4 linked regions of the Saccharomyces cerevisiae S288C genome follow. Changing the gene in region 2 together with the main gene of any one other region gives a genetic interaction. Each region holds a gene or a part of one and is shown on either strand. Other genes may lie near its edges. The genes, in order: AFG2, TCB1, YNR064C and STF2.

Region 1 (4,393 bases), on a different chromosome or scaffold from region 2:
AGTTGTGAAATCTGTGATAATGATATCGAAAAGTTTTTGGAATTGATGCTGGCATATAAGGAGGCAACAGTCAACCTAATGCAAGAAATGGTTAAATCGCCTTCGATATTGCATATCTTGAAAGAGGGCAGACTCGTTGCTTTTAGGGACCCCAATGATTGCTTGAAATTAGGATTTGTATTTAAAGTTTCTCTGAAGGATGCTGTTTGTGTCATTATGACGTTCACAAAACCATACAAACTCCCAAATGGTGAGCCAAATCATTTAATATACTTTCCAAAAGCGGATGGATACAGAAGAAGGAACTTCCCTAAATTCCAGAAGACTGATTTTTATATGGAAGAAGTTCCTGTGACGGCTATTGAAGTGATCACTAAACGCAAGTTTGCCGCACCCTTGGGAAAAGTGATTAAAAAGGATGTTGCCGCTTTGAACGAGTTTAACGCTGAAACAAATAACATTTTGGACGGCAAAACGCTAAAAGAAGCAATTAACATTGAAAAGCAAGGTTTAAAAATTCACCAAATATTGTTAGACCGTACAAATATAAGGGATGAGATATTCAAACTAAAAAGCATTAAATGTCCCAACCTAAGCCAACACATTGTTCCCAAGTTTAAGGCGCATGTAATTAAAAAGAAAATTGAAGAATTGTACCATTTGATGTCTGACCAAAATCTGAGCTTACTACCCGATTATGAAAAGAGATTGGCTGTTCTGAAAGACACTGAATTTATCGACCAAAACCACAACGTGCTGTTAAAAGGTAGAGTGGCATGTGAAATTAATTCTGGTTATGAGTTAGTTTTAACTGAATTAATTTTAGACAACTTTTTAGGAAGCTTTGAACCTGAAGAGATTGTAGCCTTATTATCAGTATTTGTTTATGAGGGGAAAACCAGGGAAGAGGAGCCTCCTATTGTCACACCAAGGCTAGCAAAGGGTAAACAAAGAATTGAGGAAATTTACAAGAAAATGCTTTGTGTTTTCAATACGCATCAGATTCCATTAACTCAGGATGAAGCTGAGTTTTTGGACAGAAAAAGGTTTGCCATGATGAATGTGGTGTATGAGTGGGCCCGTGGTTTATCATTCAAAGAAATCATGGAAATGAGCCCCGAGGCTGAAGGTACTGTAGTCAGAGTTATCACTTGGCTAGACGAAATTTGCCGCGAAGTTAAGACTGCCTCTATTATTATTGGTAATTCCACATTACATATGAAGATGAGCAGGGCTCAAGAGTTGATTAAGAGAGATATTGTTTTCGCCGCAAGTTTGTATTTATAGAGAGCTCATTTATTCTCAATGTGAGTCATGTTTATAAAAGTTAATGTTTTCGAACTCTTATTGCACACACACACACACACGTATACATAGTTTTTAAGTCCACTTCGATCCATCTTTATTTTTTTTTTCTTTCATGTAAGCAACGGGCGGACTATTGTAAGAAAATTTTATATTGCCTCATCACATAAACTAATATGCGAACAATATACAATTGAATTCTCAACATTGCCCATTCTCAAAATTGCCCAATCATAGAAAGGAAAATGGCTCCTAAATCTAGTTCTTCCGGTTCCAAAAAGAAATCATCGGCAAGTTCTAATAGTGCTGATGCAAAAGCATCCAAATTTAAATTGCCTGCTGAATTTATTACCAGACCACATCCTTCTAAAGATCATGGCAAGGAAACATGCACAGCATATATTCATCCTAACGTATTATCCTCGCTTGAGATAAATCCGGGATCATTTTGTACTGTCGGTAAGATAGGCGAAAATGGTATTTTAGTAATAGCTAGAGCGGGTGATGAAGAAGTACATCCTGTTAATGTTATCACCCTTTCCACAACTATACGATCTGTTGGGAACCTTATCCTTGGTGATCGTCTAGAATTAAAGAAAGCCCAGGTGCAACCACCTTATGCCACTAAGGTTACCGTGGGGTCCTTACAAGGATATAATATTTTGGAATGTATGGAGGAAAAAGTAATTCAAAAGCTACTGGATGATAGTGGCGTTATAATGCCTGGAATGATTTTTCAAAACTTAAAAACAAAAGCAGGTGATGAAAGCATTGATGTCGTAATTACAGATGCGAGCGATGATTCGCTTCCCGACGTCAGCCAACTAGATCTTAACATGGACGATATGTACGGTGGATTAGATAACCTGTTTTATCTATCTCCACCTTTTATATTCAGAAAAGGCTCCACACATATAACTTTTTCGAAAGAAACCCAGGCAAATCGTAAATACAATCTTCCGGAGCCCTTATCCTATGCAGCAGTGGGCGGCTTAGACAAGGAGATTGAATCACTGAAAAGTGCTATTGAAATACCTCTTCATCAACCGACGCTATTTAGTAGCTTTGGTGTTTCTCCCCCTCGAGGTATACTTCTTCACGGACCCCCAGGTACTGGTAAAACTATGCTTTTGAGAGTTGTAGCAAATACGTCCAACGCACACGTCCTAACCATTAATGGCCCCTCAATCGTCTCCAAATATCTTGGTGAAACGGAAGCGGCATTAAGAGATATTTTTAATGAAGCAAGGAAGTACCAGCCTTCCATTATTTTCATTGACGAAATTGATTCAATAGCACCAAATAGAGCAAACGATGACTCCGGTGAAGTTGAGAGCAGAGTCGTGGCTACATTGCTTACCCTAATGGATGGCATGGGCGCTGCAGGTAAAGTGGTGGTAATTGCTGCTACAAACAGGCCTAATTCTGTCGACCCTGCTCTCAGGAGACCTGGCAGGTTTGACCAAGAAGTAGAAATTGGTATACCAGACGTTGATGCCAGATTTGACATTTTAACTAAGCAATTCTCAAGAATGTCCTCGGATCGTCACGTATTAGATTCTGAAGCGATCAAGTACATTGCTTCTAAAACGCATGGCTATGTTGGTGCTGATTTAACTGCTCTCTGCAGAGAATCAGTTATGAAGACGATACAACGAGGACTAGGAACAGACGCCAATATTGACAAGTTTTCCCTAAAAGTTACATTGAAAGATGTGGAGAGCGCCATGGTTGATATCAGACCCAGCGCAATGAGAGAAATCTTCTTAGAAATGCCAAAAGTTTATTGGTCTGACATTGGCGGCCAAGAAGAGCTTAAAACAAAGATGAAAGAAATGATACAGTTGCCTTTGGAGGCTTCGGAGACTTTTGCCAGGCTGGGAATTTCTGCACCAAAAGGTGTATTACTTTACGGGCCGCCAGGTTGCTCCAAGACATTAACCGCAAAAGCTCTCGCTACAGAATCGGGTATCAACTTCTTAGCTGTGAAAGGGCCTGAAATTTTTAACAAGTATGTAGGGGAATCCGAAAGAGCTATAAGAGAAATTTTCCGCAAAGCACGCTCTGCAGCTCCAAGTATTATCTTCTTTGATGAAATCGATGCATTATCTCCTGATAGAGACGGGAGTTCCACCTCTGCAGCTAATCACGTGCTCACATCTTTACTCAATGAGATTGATGGTGTTGAAGAGTTAAAGGGTGTAGTTATTGTAGCGGCGACGAATAGACCTGATGAAATAGATGCTGCTCTTCTAAGGCCTGGTAGGTTAGATAGACACATTTACGTTGGCCCTCCAGACGTAAACGCCCGCTTGGAAATCTTAAAGAAGTGCACAAAGAAATTTAATACAGAAGAGTCTGGAGTCGATCTTCATGAATTGGCAGACCGTACAGAAGGTTATTCCGGAGCTGAAGTTGTGCTGCTTTGTCAAGAAGCGGGCTTGGCTGCCATAATGGAAGATTTAGATGTCGCAAAAGTGGAATTACGTCATTTTGAGAAAGCTTTTAAAGGAATTGCTAGGGGCATTACTCCAGAAATGCTCTCTTATTATGAAGAGTTTGCTCTAAGAAGCGGTTCATCTTCGTAAGCTTGTTCATAGTCAATTCTTTTCCTTTGTGTGCTCAATAATAGTAGATAGAAATTATACTGAACTCCGGTCATTTTGTATAATATATTAATCACTTCACACGAACATACATAAATAAAATATCATAAAGGTTAGCAAATTGGAACTAGTTATATGTTAATTAGTTAAAAGATAGAAAATTCGAGAAAGGAAGAAAAAGCTGATATTGCCCATCTCCAACTTTATCAAATCATTTCACGATGAATAGATTTTGGAATACTAAGAAATTTTCATTAACAAATGCCGATGGACTATGTGCTACCTTAAATGAGATATCTCAAAATGATGAAGTTCTTGTGGTTCAACCAAGTGTATTGCCAGTACTCAATAGTTTGCTAACTTTCCAAGATTTGACTCAATCAACTCCTGTAAGGAAAATTACGTTACTCGATGATCAGCTAAGTGACGATTTACCGAGTGCCTTAGGCAGCGTTCCGCAAATGGATCTTATTTTTCTTATT
Region 2 (5,770 bases):
TTGCATGATCAGTGCCTATATGTTCAACCAAATCAGGAATACCCAATTGGCAGGCGTTGGTCCTAAGGGCGAGGTTATGTATTTCTTGCCCAATGAATTCCAACACCAATTCGCCATTGAAACTCAAGTCATGGTTCTTATTTACGGAACATTGGCCGCGTTGGTTGTCGTATTGGTCAAGGGTATACAATTCTTGCGGTCTCATTTGTATCCAGAGACCAAGAAAGCGTACTTCATTGATGCTATTTTGGCCTCCTTTTGTGCCTTATTCATTTATGTCTTCTTTGCTGCTTTGACAACCGTGTTCACGATAAAGAGTCCTGCTTACCCTTTTCCTTTACTAAGGTTATCGGCACCATTCAAATAAGTCAGTTTTTTTTTTTGTTTTCACCATAACAAAGAGATGGAAAGTTATACTAGATAAAGATTTTTAAAAAATATAAAAGAAAATAAAACGAAATTTATATTTTACACAGTGCATCTTGTCCCTCTCTTTCTCGCTAAAACTTAGTTTCTTCTTCGCCCATCTCATGATTCTTCTTATGGTTTGTGAGGCTGCCTAGTCCACCGAATACCCCTTTCTTGATCTTGCCAATGGCACCAACACCGCCGCCTATCACGGTCGTACCAGCTTTCAAACCAGTACCTAGTCCCTTGGATGCTATATCTCCGACCTTCTTTTCTCTTTTACTCACGCTAATGGTGTATCTTGGCTTAAAGCTGAAAGCTAAATGCAACATACCACCGTCTTGACCAGCGTTCTCTAATCCTTCTACCGGTACGTCTAATTCGGTAGTACCCTCGACTTTGACCTTATTCAATGGGATTTCTGCTGTACCAATGGTATCATCCGCAGATGTGGAATCCCAGTCCATGACTTTGATTCTTAGAACATCATTTAAACGGTTATTGATTTGAATAGTTCCTTCATCATTCCATTTAGGATTCAAAGTTTTCTTAACAACCTTCGTCTTGTAAGCGCAGTCTTCCTCATTATTGATGTAATACTTTAAGTATGGGTCCGAATAACCATTTAAATCGGATGCTATCAAGTTTTCTGCACTCCTCGACATAATCGTCAAATCACCAGAATTTGTGATCAGGTCATTTGCCGGCAACTGTTTTGTATCAATAGGGAACCATGATATTTGGAGCATTAGTTTAGCACTGCCTTCACCTGAAAGATGTAATATTGATGGCTTATAATAACAGTTCTTAACTAACTCTTGTGTGGGTAGTTCTACTTCACAAACGCATTTCTCCACTCTGTTGTAGTTTTTATTTTTAGCAACTCTAAAAGTGGTAATGGATTTGTCCAATTCTTTTATGATCACGTCACCTGACCAACCATTCTTGACAATTCTCGATGGAATACGTGGACTAACAAATCTTGGATGACCATTATCATCGAAAAACGCTTGGACGTATAGCCCAGAGTCGGGCAATTCCCCATTAAGGACAGTGACAGCAAGAACACCTTGGTTGTATTGCAATAATTCTGGCAAATCCAATTTCTGTCTATTACTATACATGTCTTCCAATTCTTTGACCTCATTCCATTCTTGATCAAATTTGGCTTTGTCTTCTTTAGAAATTTTTTTCTCATCAATTGCTGACTTACGCAGTTCCAATGCTTTTTTCTTTTTGTTAACTTTATCTAAATCTTGGATTTCCTCTAACGTTAAAACAGGTAAAGCGGGATAAAAGGAGGTATAGTATGTTATAGTGCCCTTAGGTTTTTTCTTAGGCATCACTAGACGACCAACTTTAGCTTTTTCATCAATAGTTTCCTCATATTTATCATTCTCATCCTTCTTAAATAAATCTTGAACGTTAACATTGAATTCACCAAGTGAACGATCTTTGTTGACTGTTTCGACATCCATACATTGAAGCGTAATTCTTTGGTTTGGTGAAGTAACTGCAACATAAATAACTTGATTCCAGACAGGATTCAAAGTTTGGCTCTTGAAATCAGTTCTACCCTTCGATAAACCATTAACCAAAACTTTACAGTATGGATCAATGGTACCAAACTTTTCCAAATTTCTCAAATCGTTTGCCTTCTCAATGAATACTCTGATGGCGCCAATTGGTGGCGTGTAAGCTACAGAGTTGGAACCAATCTCCAGTCTAACAGGTCTCCAATATGTGGTAATCTTTATGTCACCCTTTTGGTTTTTTAATGGAATCAAATTTTTGTTCACTTGGCTTCTATCTATTAAATCATTCAGGGTTTGAATGGTAGATCCAATTTCTTCTCCTTTGCCATCCTTGACGACAAACTTATATCTTGTTTTACGACGATCTGCAATAACTGCTTCGTAGTCTGAATTCCACTTCAATGTACCAGTGTCAGTTGCCTTACCAGTGGTTAACACTAGTTTAGCATTCAAGTAAACTTCAACGTAGGCAGTAACCTTCTGTTCTTCTTCAGCAAAACGAGAACCTTCTTCGACCACAACTTTAGCAATACCAGTATTCAAATCCGGTAGTTCCTCCACAGATCCATCCGGCAACTTTTTCTCTTCTAAAGTTGGGAAGAATCTTAAATCAAAAGTCAATTCCCCAACCGGTTTAGAGTTTCTTAAAAACTGAGCTTTCAAGTTTCTTTGCGTGGTTTTATCATGTAAAGTATTCAAGTTGTACTGAATTCTGCCTAGGACTTTATCCTTCAATTTTGCACGCTTATCATAAACACTAATGGTCAAGGGGTCAGTGAATGAGTTTAACAAGACGTACAGAGTTTCGTCCCAAACGGGGTTCAATGTGTCTCTTACGGTTCTTGTCTTGGCAATAGATATATCGTTAAATTCGAAAGATAAGTAAGGGTCGATTGATTCGTTCAATATCGAAGAGGTACGTTTTAGCCCCTTTGCATTTTTGACAGTTATTTCTAATATACCAATGGACAAGTTGGAACCAGATAAGAGTTGTGGAATGTTCAATTGTAAAGAAAATGGAGGTAACAAGATTGGACCCATATATTTCTTGGCCATCTTTTGTATTAGTGTCATAAGGCCTGGGATAGCTAAAATTTCCCAATTGAAGATGGAACGGCCGAATAAGGTAGCAACAAAATCAAAATCAGGAACCTTCAGTAGCTGGATATTAACAGTTTCGACATGAGGGAAGGGAGTCATCAATTTGAATTTCACTCTAGCATGAGCCTTGAAAGCAATGTCTGACACAGAAACAGGGATGGTGATACCAAAAATTTTGGCCTTAACAACCGCTAATTCATTAACGTAATTTCTGACTTGCTTAGCACTCATGTCGCATAAATCGTGAGGAGTAAAAGAAATACCCCAGTCCATCACAACAACATCGGATGCAGTGTTTTGGAAAGTCTTCACCAAATCAACTCTGGGGGGTTTAACACCAAGTGTCAACTCATCGATCCATAGTTGAGTAATAAATTTGGGAATCGCCTCATTAGTAGCCATTTGTTCATTAGCTTGCTGAACGATTAATTGACTAACGGAAGGTTCTAAAATGGGCCAGTACTTATCCAAAAAGGCATTCAACCATTCTAGGGATTCATAGTCGTTTTCCACTTTCTGCACCGTGAACTCTTTCTGGACTAACTCTCTTATGGAACCTCTGTATTTTTTAGCAGAGGTTCTATACAACAATGAAGTGATAACGATGACAAAAAAGGCCGACCCCATTGAAAACTTATAATGACCAAGTGCAAATGATGCCACGCCTCCGATAAAGAAAATGGCTACCGAATGATACCAGTCACCGTAAAGGCTGTCCGGTATGATGTTATCTAAGAAGGTTTCTCTAGTCATATCCATCAATTCATCATCTAAAGTTAATTCGTCTTTGTCTTCCCAGCCACCAATCTGTTTCCAGCCGACATAAGAAGCTTCATGGATACTTCTCTTGAAGCTTTCATCACTAGCATGTGCCGCCTTCTCAGATGACACGCTTTTACTGGATTCGGTTTCCTCTTTCGTCTTTGGAGGTTCTAACTTATCTATCCCATTTATGTTAGCTACTTGGGCTGTTTCGGGCTTCTTTGGTGCTGTTACCCCAGTATCTTCTTTGGCCATATTGTATGTACCACGCAATTGAAGTTTTCAGAATGCACTAGCTATCTTTTTTTATCTTAGCTATTCTTCTTCAATTATCCTACTTATTCTTCAGCAAAAAAAAAATAATAAGCTAAGACAATGCTATACAAGTCAATTACCAGCCAGTAAGTCCAAATTGGAGTAGCCAATGCTATTAGTTGATAATTTTGACGGCCGATTATACTATTCCAATTGCAGCAACATCCCTGTCCCTTAGCTTTTTGAGGGGCCTTTTGTTATAATTTTTCATGCAGCATTCCGGTCGCCAAAGTTGTTATCACTTCTAACGTAAATCGTTTTCTCGTTATGTCCGCTATTTTAGAATGAGAATAATGGATAAAATTGGCCTAAAAAGGGAGCGAGTATAACGTTACTGAGATACAATTGTACATTTTGCCATGGAAATGAGCCAACTAGTCTAATGAGATTTTCAATGCTTTATTTCTTTTTTTAGTTTCTCATTTTATTGTTTCTCTAGTTATTAGTCCTTTGGTTATTTTTATGTCACCACCTCTTGTCACATGACCATTTTTGTTACTTGCTTGGTTTTACAATGATTTATACATTCTTGGGCCTCTCTTGACATATTTTTATCGTCATAATAAGTTCTTCATTCGTTCTCTAAAACAACAAAGTTAGACTCCATGGCCAAGTTGGTTAAGGCGTGCGACTGTTAATCGCAAGATCGTGAGTTCAACCCTCACTGGGGTCGTTAATTTTTTAATTTTTCTCCTACACTGTTGCTATGTCGGAGTTATCTCATAAGAGCTGAAAATATGTGGTAAATTTAGTCAGTATCCTTCGAGGATCAGCTAGAGCCTATTCAATGCAATTGTCATTAATCAGTGGCTTGGTAAGGCAATAGAATTCAGTTATAAAATATAATATTACTAGAACAGGAGCATTATGGTATCAGCCAACGGCGACTTGCACTTGCCAATTTCTAACGAACAGTGCATGCCGGAAAACAATGGATCTCTTGGATTTGAGGCCCCCACTCCGAGACAGATTCTCAGGGTTACGTTAAATTTGAAATACTTAATTGATAAGGTCGTACCTATTGTTTACGATCCCAATGATATTGTTTGTGACCATTCTGAGATTTTATCTCCAAAAGTTGTGAAGCTGGCTTATGAAGCATGTGGCGGGAACCCTAAAGACAAGGCCAACAAAAGAAAATATCAATCTGTCATTATTTTTTCACTTCTTAAAGTTTGTGAGTGGTATTCCATATTGGCCACTATGGAAGTGCACAATGCCAAACTTTACGAAACCAGAAATTTAGCCTCACAACAGTTATGTAAATTGTTAATTGAAAGGGAGGAGACAAGAGACCTGCAGTTTCTTTTCATGCAGTTACTGCTGCGTCGGTACGTAATCAACGAGAACGATGAAGATCAAGAACCGTTGAATGCCTTGGAACTTGCCACAGATATGCACTGTACTACAGTGATAGGATCGAGTGGATTTCAGCGTTGTTTAAAATGGATATGGAGAGGATGGATAGTCCAAAATGGCTTGGATCCCACAACTTTTATCAAGGACGATTCACTGGCGGAAGTGTCATTGATCTCTCATTTCAACCCCGTAAGATTAAAGGCGCCTGTATACCAAAATTATTTGCAGATGATCTTCTCATTTTTGTTTCTAGGGCTTTATACCTTGGTGGTTAATGGTAAGGACTCTGA
Region 3 (3,092 bases), on a different chromosome or scaffold from region 2:
CTTTAAGAACAGCGTCACTGACATTATGTATTTCATGTATTATACTCCTAAGGTATAAGCAGGTGGTGCAGTTCCTTAAAGGTACTGAACTATTTGAATACATTCTAGCATTGGAAATATTGCAAGATTTAGTTCAGGTACTTCCTATTGAACAAAACCTTATTGATATAATCAAATATCCGATCAGTCCAGTACAGCTGAGTGGTGATAGCTTTGTCGAATTTTGGGGTCGCATACTTTACTAAACCGTTTCCTAGCTGATTTTTTGACACTTTATTCAGAAATGACCTTTTGAGATACAAGTTTACTAGGGGAAAGATCCATATGACATGGTAGTAGGTTTACCCTTCAAAACAACATAGATCGTAAAAAAGGTGGCTGAAGAACTTACTAAAAATGTTATATGCTTAGATTAATATATTGTCACCGGGCTACCAGTACAAACCCTTGATAATGCGACCAGACATCTGTTTTGACTTATTTATGAGCAATAATGGGTAACAAAAGAACGCTCTGAGGCAACTCTATGTGAGTCGAAACATATGTGTTTTTGGCAATTAAACAAAATACGAGAGATTCTTCTCAGAAAACATTGTCACAAGAACTTAGTATCTTTAATTTTCTGCAAACATACTGATGATTTCTTCGGCAATAGCAACTACGTGAGTTTCAAGCGCAAAATGGCCAGTATCATAGTAAACAACCTTTAAATTATCAACGTCTTTCCGATAAGCTTCAGCCCCGGCAACGCTAAAAATAGTATCATTCGCACCCCATGCAACTAGCACAGGAATCTTTGAATCTCTCAAGAACTTTTGAAAGGCTGGGTACAACTTTATATTATTCTGATAATCGAAAAATAATCTCAATTGAATATCGGTCTGGCCGGTACGCTGAATTAGCGCAATATCAAGCGTATAAGCGGCGGGATCAACAGATTCGATAGCTGGTACTCCATCATGGTACTGGCATATGACATTAGCTGGATCTTCAAGGTACGGGATAAGGGATTTAACAAATACCGGATCACTTTGATATGACTTCCAATATTCCTTCAACGGACCCCAAAAGCGGTCATCGAGACCCTCTTCGTAAGCATTACCGTTTTGAGTAACAATGCCAGTAATTCTGGAGGGAAACTTCAAGGCTAACCGAAAACCTACCGGAGATCCATAATCAAATATATACATGGCAAATTTTTCAATACTCAAAGTATCTAACAAATATCCTATACTTTCACAAAGGGAATCAAAGCTGAACTTGTAGTTTTCTGGCGTTTCCGTAAATCCGAACCCAGGAAGATCCGGAGCAATGATGTGAAACTGTCCAGCTAGTAAGGGAATGAGGTTCCTGAACATGTTGGAAGATGTAGGGAACCCATGTAGCAATAAAATTGTGGGGTTACCTGCTGCACCGGCCTCACGGTACCAAACCTTTACACCGTCTTGAACTTGAATCTTGTGAAATCTTGCAATGATATTTGACATTTTTGTCCTTCGTCCAATTCTGACAGTGAAAGAAAAGTGGTCAAGTTCAGTTAATTTGATCGTGCTTATATATGTTCTTTTTGGCTCCTATCACTTTTGGCTCCTATCACTTTTGAAATTTCTGTCACGATTATGTGCGGCGCAGTCCCTAGGCAAGTTACAGACGAATGGCATGCAGCGCCGTCTGTGGAAAAGATGAATACTGAATTATCATACCTTTAAATGACTATGTTAATAACAAAGGTGAATGGAGATTTAGAAAATGCACAATATTGAGAAAATGCATATGCGTACTTTTTGTTAGCAAACATACGATTATTTAGTCTATTAAAAAAATCTATTTACTCGTCCTCGTTGCGCACAGCAGTTGAATCAGGCTTGTGAATAGCACTACGTGCTGGCAATGCGTCTGGAATATTGCTAGTGGCAGGCTGGTCTATCTGTGACGTGTGCTCTTGTTCGGGTCTGTAAGCATCTTCTTGTTCAATTTCAAAATTACTGTCTTGACTTGTGAAACTGGATAAATCGTTAGCATCTTCATGCAAGCCATCTGATTCATCTGAAAACTGACCCTGAAGCAGCGAAGAGTAAGTAGGACCTTTTCTGTTGCCAAACCTTGCCCTTAATTTTGAAGAAAAGCGTGCTACACCTGCCTTCGTGCGTTGAAATGCAGACTTGGTAATTAAAGAAATGCATAATCCTAGTCTTACAATGATGTTGACAACTCTATCGGTCCTATTGTTTTCTATCAGCCCATCGTCTCCTAATCTTATTTCTTCAAATCTTGAAAATCCCCCATTTCTCCTGATACCTCTATCGTATACAAACCATGCGGCAAAGAAAATAACGAGAAGAATTGTAACAAAAACCAGCGCATAAGCGCCGGTGTTTATAGAATATTTTTCCCTGAATGCCTTTTCTTTTCCCGGACAAGGATGTGGTGCTAAATGTGCATCCAATTTCAGCCCACCTTTACAGGTTGATAAGGGAATTTTTCGATAGCCAGAGGAATCATAGTATTCAATTAAGTCGGGTTCCTTTTTGCAGATATCGGCACCATTCGCCGAACTTAAGCCTTTGACTAATTTACAAGTACCATCACTGGCTTTATAAAAATTATAGTCACATTCGAAATCTTGCCTCGTACATGAACAGTTTTTGACGTTCCTCGAAAATTCAGAAAGTGGAATATTCCCAATAAAACATTTTTCATCGGTTTTACGTAAAAACTCGGTTTGATGACCAAATAGACAACCAGTTCTGGAACCCAGAGGAGAGTACTTAAAATCTGCCCTTTTTTTACCCGTAATATCAAACTCACATTGCCTCTCGAAGATGTTTCTAAAATCAATTGTATACGTTCTGAATGAACCACTACCCATGTTTTTTGCTTCTCCAAATAGCAAAAACCTCAAAGCAGAATCTCTGGGAACGGTGATTATATCCTTTACGAGGACTTTGTCGCCACAGAATTTATAATCTTTCCATGTTTTACCAAAATCGGTGGAGTAAGAAATAGAATCAGTTTCTGCGTTTTCGGGGACCAAAACCAAGACTCCACCATGATCACCGTACTCCCATTGATGGGGGCCTTTTTTAACCTCA
Region 4 (2,868 bases), on a different chromosome or scaffold from region 2:
GGAATTGAGTTTCTATTCTGTCGCCCAAGATGCCGTTTCAAAACATTGTTATGTCTTTCAGAGGGATTTGGACAATGTCTTGGTCAATGGTGGATACAAATTCGATGCAGAAGATTGTGTTTATGTTGACGGGGATTTTGACTTATTCCATATGGGGGATATTGATCAGTTAAGAAAGCTGAAAATGGATCTTCACCCCGATAAGAAATTGATTGTTGGTATTACCACAAGCGATTACTCGAGTACCATTATGACGATGAAGGAACGCGTCTTGAGCGTTTTAAGTTGTAAATATGTTGATGCCGTTATTATCGATGCTGACGCCACCTCAATGTCTCAGTATAACTGCGAGAAGTATCATATTGGCACGGCTGTCCTCACTGCTGCCGGAAAATTCAGTGAATACTTGACTAAAGAGCTTATTGTGAAGAGGGTGGAATCGCAAAGGGAGGTTTACATTGCGAGGAACCAAAAAAAGGGAATGTCCATATAAACAAATGTTGAAAACTTCTTCGAACGTAAATTAAATGGATGTAAGAAAACTGTATTACATAAGTCATGAAGTAGGCATGCAAGTATATACCTATAGATGCATATAAATCAGTGGAGAAGGCCACTATCCTTCAGAGATCAAAAAACCTTTTTTTATCTTGAAAACGCCCTCATTCCTTTTGGACGTTTTCAAACTTTTGTTCATGCGATTGCAAATTTGAGCCTCTTCTATCTTTCTTGAACACTGGGGGTATTTCACCATTATCAATTAAGTCATCAATCTCATCGCCTGGCTTACCCCAATTACCCTTGCCGGAACCTTGCTTCTTGATGTGATTTGGAGATTCACCGTAGTTACCAGTGTGCGAAAAGTACTTTGGATCAGCCTTTCCTTCACGTTCGGTCCACTTGTTTGTTCTCGTCATTTTTTCTGATTGGTTGTACACTTGAGCGGTTTGTTACTGTTGATTGTTCGTTTATTTGTATAATTGAGTTTACACAACAATTGTTACAATAGTATGGGTAATTAGGGCCAAGAGAGTGACAAAAAGCAAACTTATAAATAGTCCTTTTATACAAATGACAAGTGTTCGCTTCTGCGCTCGCAGCCCCCTGTTTTCGAAGGAGTTTCTTAGCCTAAGCTAGGCAGGCGCGCCCCCATTATCTATCCCTTCATTGCTTACTGAGAGGTTTTCCTCCCCCCCTCCGCGTATATTTCCTCCGCTGGAGAAAATTAGTTGTGGGACGGATAGCATCACTTAATTCTGTACCTTTTTGAAACTGGCTTGGTACTTTCTGTTGGATAGCAACATTTCCCGCTGGGATACTTCAACATGGGCTATGAATTTTCTTTTGTCTTTTATCTTTTATCTTTTATCTTTTATCTTTAAATTATTTGAGCTCGGTTAAGTTCATAACTATTGCGTGCCCGAATGGTATTCTTTCAATTCACAACCAAACATTAAAATGAAGAAAGCATACTCTTATATTATATCAATGTCTTTTTCTTTACTTATTTGTCTTTGCTCATAAATTTCTACATAATGGTAGTAATGGTGATGAAATGTTGTTACTTGTGATATATTACATAGTTTTTACAGGCATATTCTATCTGATACCTGCCAACCTGTTGGTATTCATATGGAGATTGATATCTAGATCATCAGTGCTTTCCTCAATGTTGTTGAGACGTTTTTGCTGAGAGTCTAATTCTTTACCAGTGGTCAAGGCCATTTTCTTCAATCTGTTGCTAACCTGCTGAATCTGGTCCAAATTCCTATCAATTTCCAATTCCATTTCGTCATCTTCTTCATCATTCTCAAACTGATATCTCTTTGCCTTTTCTAGAACATTCTTCCTCTGATATCTTTCCCGCACCTCACTTATGTTATTATTTGCGTTCATAGCACCCTCTATTCTTTGAGTGGACTGAGACAATTGTTGACTTGTTTGCTCTCTCATTAATTTTTCTTCAATTTTCCTATTCTTCAGCTGCTCTTCCCTCTCCCTTCTCCTTCTCTTGGAATTAAACGGATTAGAAACATGGACAGCCAATATACTACGGTTCAATTTTTTTAGTTCTGCAACTTTTTCATCTGCAACTTTATTTTGCACCTTCATTAAATCTAAGTTTCCTTCTACGTTATTCAATTGTTCACTTTGATGACCCAGCATACCCAATGTGTTCATACCTGCTCTTTCGGCGTCTTGAGCCATTTTTAGTGTATTTCTAGTAGAGGCTACGGAACTCTGTTTCGTAAATTTGATCTCCTGCTTGATTTCATCTACTGCTTCATCTTCTTCCTGCTGCTGGCGAGCCTCCTCTTCTTTTTGTATTTCTTCAAATGTTTTGTAACCCCTTTGATCTCCATATTGGTTATTTGTTGCGTTAAAGTGTTGCTGTTGCTGTTGCTGCTCATCCATGAACCACTGTTGCTGCTGCTGCTGTCTTGAACTATGATCAACTTCGGACGCATTTAAATCTATTGAATCTTCATTCGTCATTACTGCATTCAAATCAGGCTCATCTAATGCCGCTCTATTTTCTGCAGACTTGTCAGCATAAACTTCTTCAAAATCAAATTCACCTGTTCTAGGTTCTTCATTTAAATCAACTTCACTATTGCGTGCTGCTTCATCAGAAGCAATAAAAGAGGGCGTATAAGTCATTGGAGCTTGTTGCGATTGCGGTTGACGCACACTTCTACTAGAATATGGATTTGCAGACCTGTTCAAATTTCCATTACTATATGAGTCGTTCGCCATAGAGGCGTATGGATTTGCATTCTTGGAGCTTCCTTGTCGAGTACCGCTAGATCTATTAGTATTGGAGTCATACGCCCCGCCATAACTATTCATATCAGCGTAAGGATTTCT

Evidence for each region.
Region 1: mutations in TCB1 (region 2) and AFG2 together harm fitness more than expected from each alone (negative genetic interaction), as found in Saccharomyces cerevisiae (one large-scale study listed by BioGRID).
Region 3: mutations in TCB1 (region 2) and YNR064C together harm fitness more than expected from each alone (negative genetic interaction), as found in Saccharomyces cerevisiae (one large-scale study listed by BioGRID).
Region 4: mutations in TCB1 (region 2) and STF2 together harm fitness less than expected from each alone (positive genetic interaction), as found in Saccharomyces cerevisiae (one large-scale study listed by BioGRID).

The regions. Positions count from the first base shown.
Region 1 is NC_001144.5:912,050-916,442, reverse strand, and holds AFG2 (AAA family ATPase AFG2), read left to right. Parts: upstream 1-1,550; coding exon 1,551-3,893; downstream 3,894-4,393. Other genes in the region: SKI complex RNA helicase subunit SKI2, read left to right, coding at 1-1,287; tethering complex ATP-binding subunit VPS33, read left to right, coding at 4,133-4,393. UniProt on the Saccharomyces cerevisiae protein: ATP-dependent chaperone which uses the energy provided by ATP hydrolysis to generate mechanical force to disassemble protein complexes.
Region 2 is NC_001147.6:482,719-488,488, forward strand, and holds TCB1 (tricalbin), read right to left. Parts: upstream 4,062-5,770; coding exon 501-4,061; downstream 1-500. Other genes in the region: dolichyl-diphosphooligosaccharide--protein glycotransferase OST3, read left to right, coding at 1-367; YVC1 (Yvc1p), read left to right, coding at 4,989-5,770. UniProt on the Saccharomyces cerevisiae protein: May play a role in membrane trafficking.
Region 3 is NC_001146.8:748,522-751,613, forward strand, and holds YNR064C (epoxide hydrolase), read right to left. Parts: upstream 1,488-3,092; coding exon 615-1,487; downstream 1-614. Other genes in the region: PUL4 (Pul4p), read left to right, coding at 1-245; YNR065C (uncharacterized protein), read right to left, coding at 1,829-3,092.
Region 4 is NC_001139.9:507,448-510,315, forward strand, and holds STF2 (ATPase-stabilizing factor family protein), read right to left. Parts: upstream 918-2,868; coding exon 663-917; downstream 1-662. Other genes in the region: ECT1 (ethanolamine-phosphate cytidylyltransferase), read left to right, coding at 1-493; SEC9 (Sec9p), read right to left, coding at 1,600-2,868. UniProt on the Saccharomyces cerevisiae protein: Found to stabilize, together with STF1, a complex of intrinsic ATPase inhibitor INH1 and proton-translocating ATPase (F(1)F(0)-ATPase) in mitochondrial membranes. Binds to the F0 part and may function to hold the ATPase inhibitor or STF1 on the F1 subunit.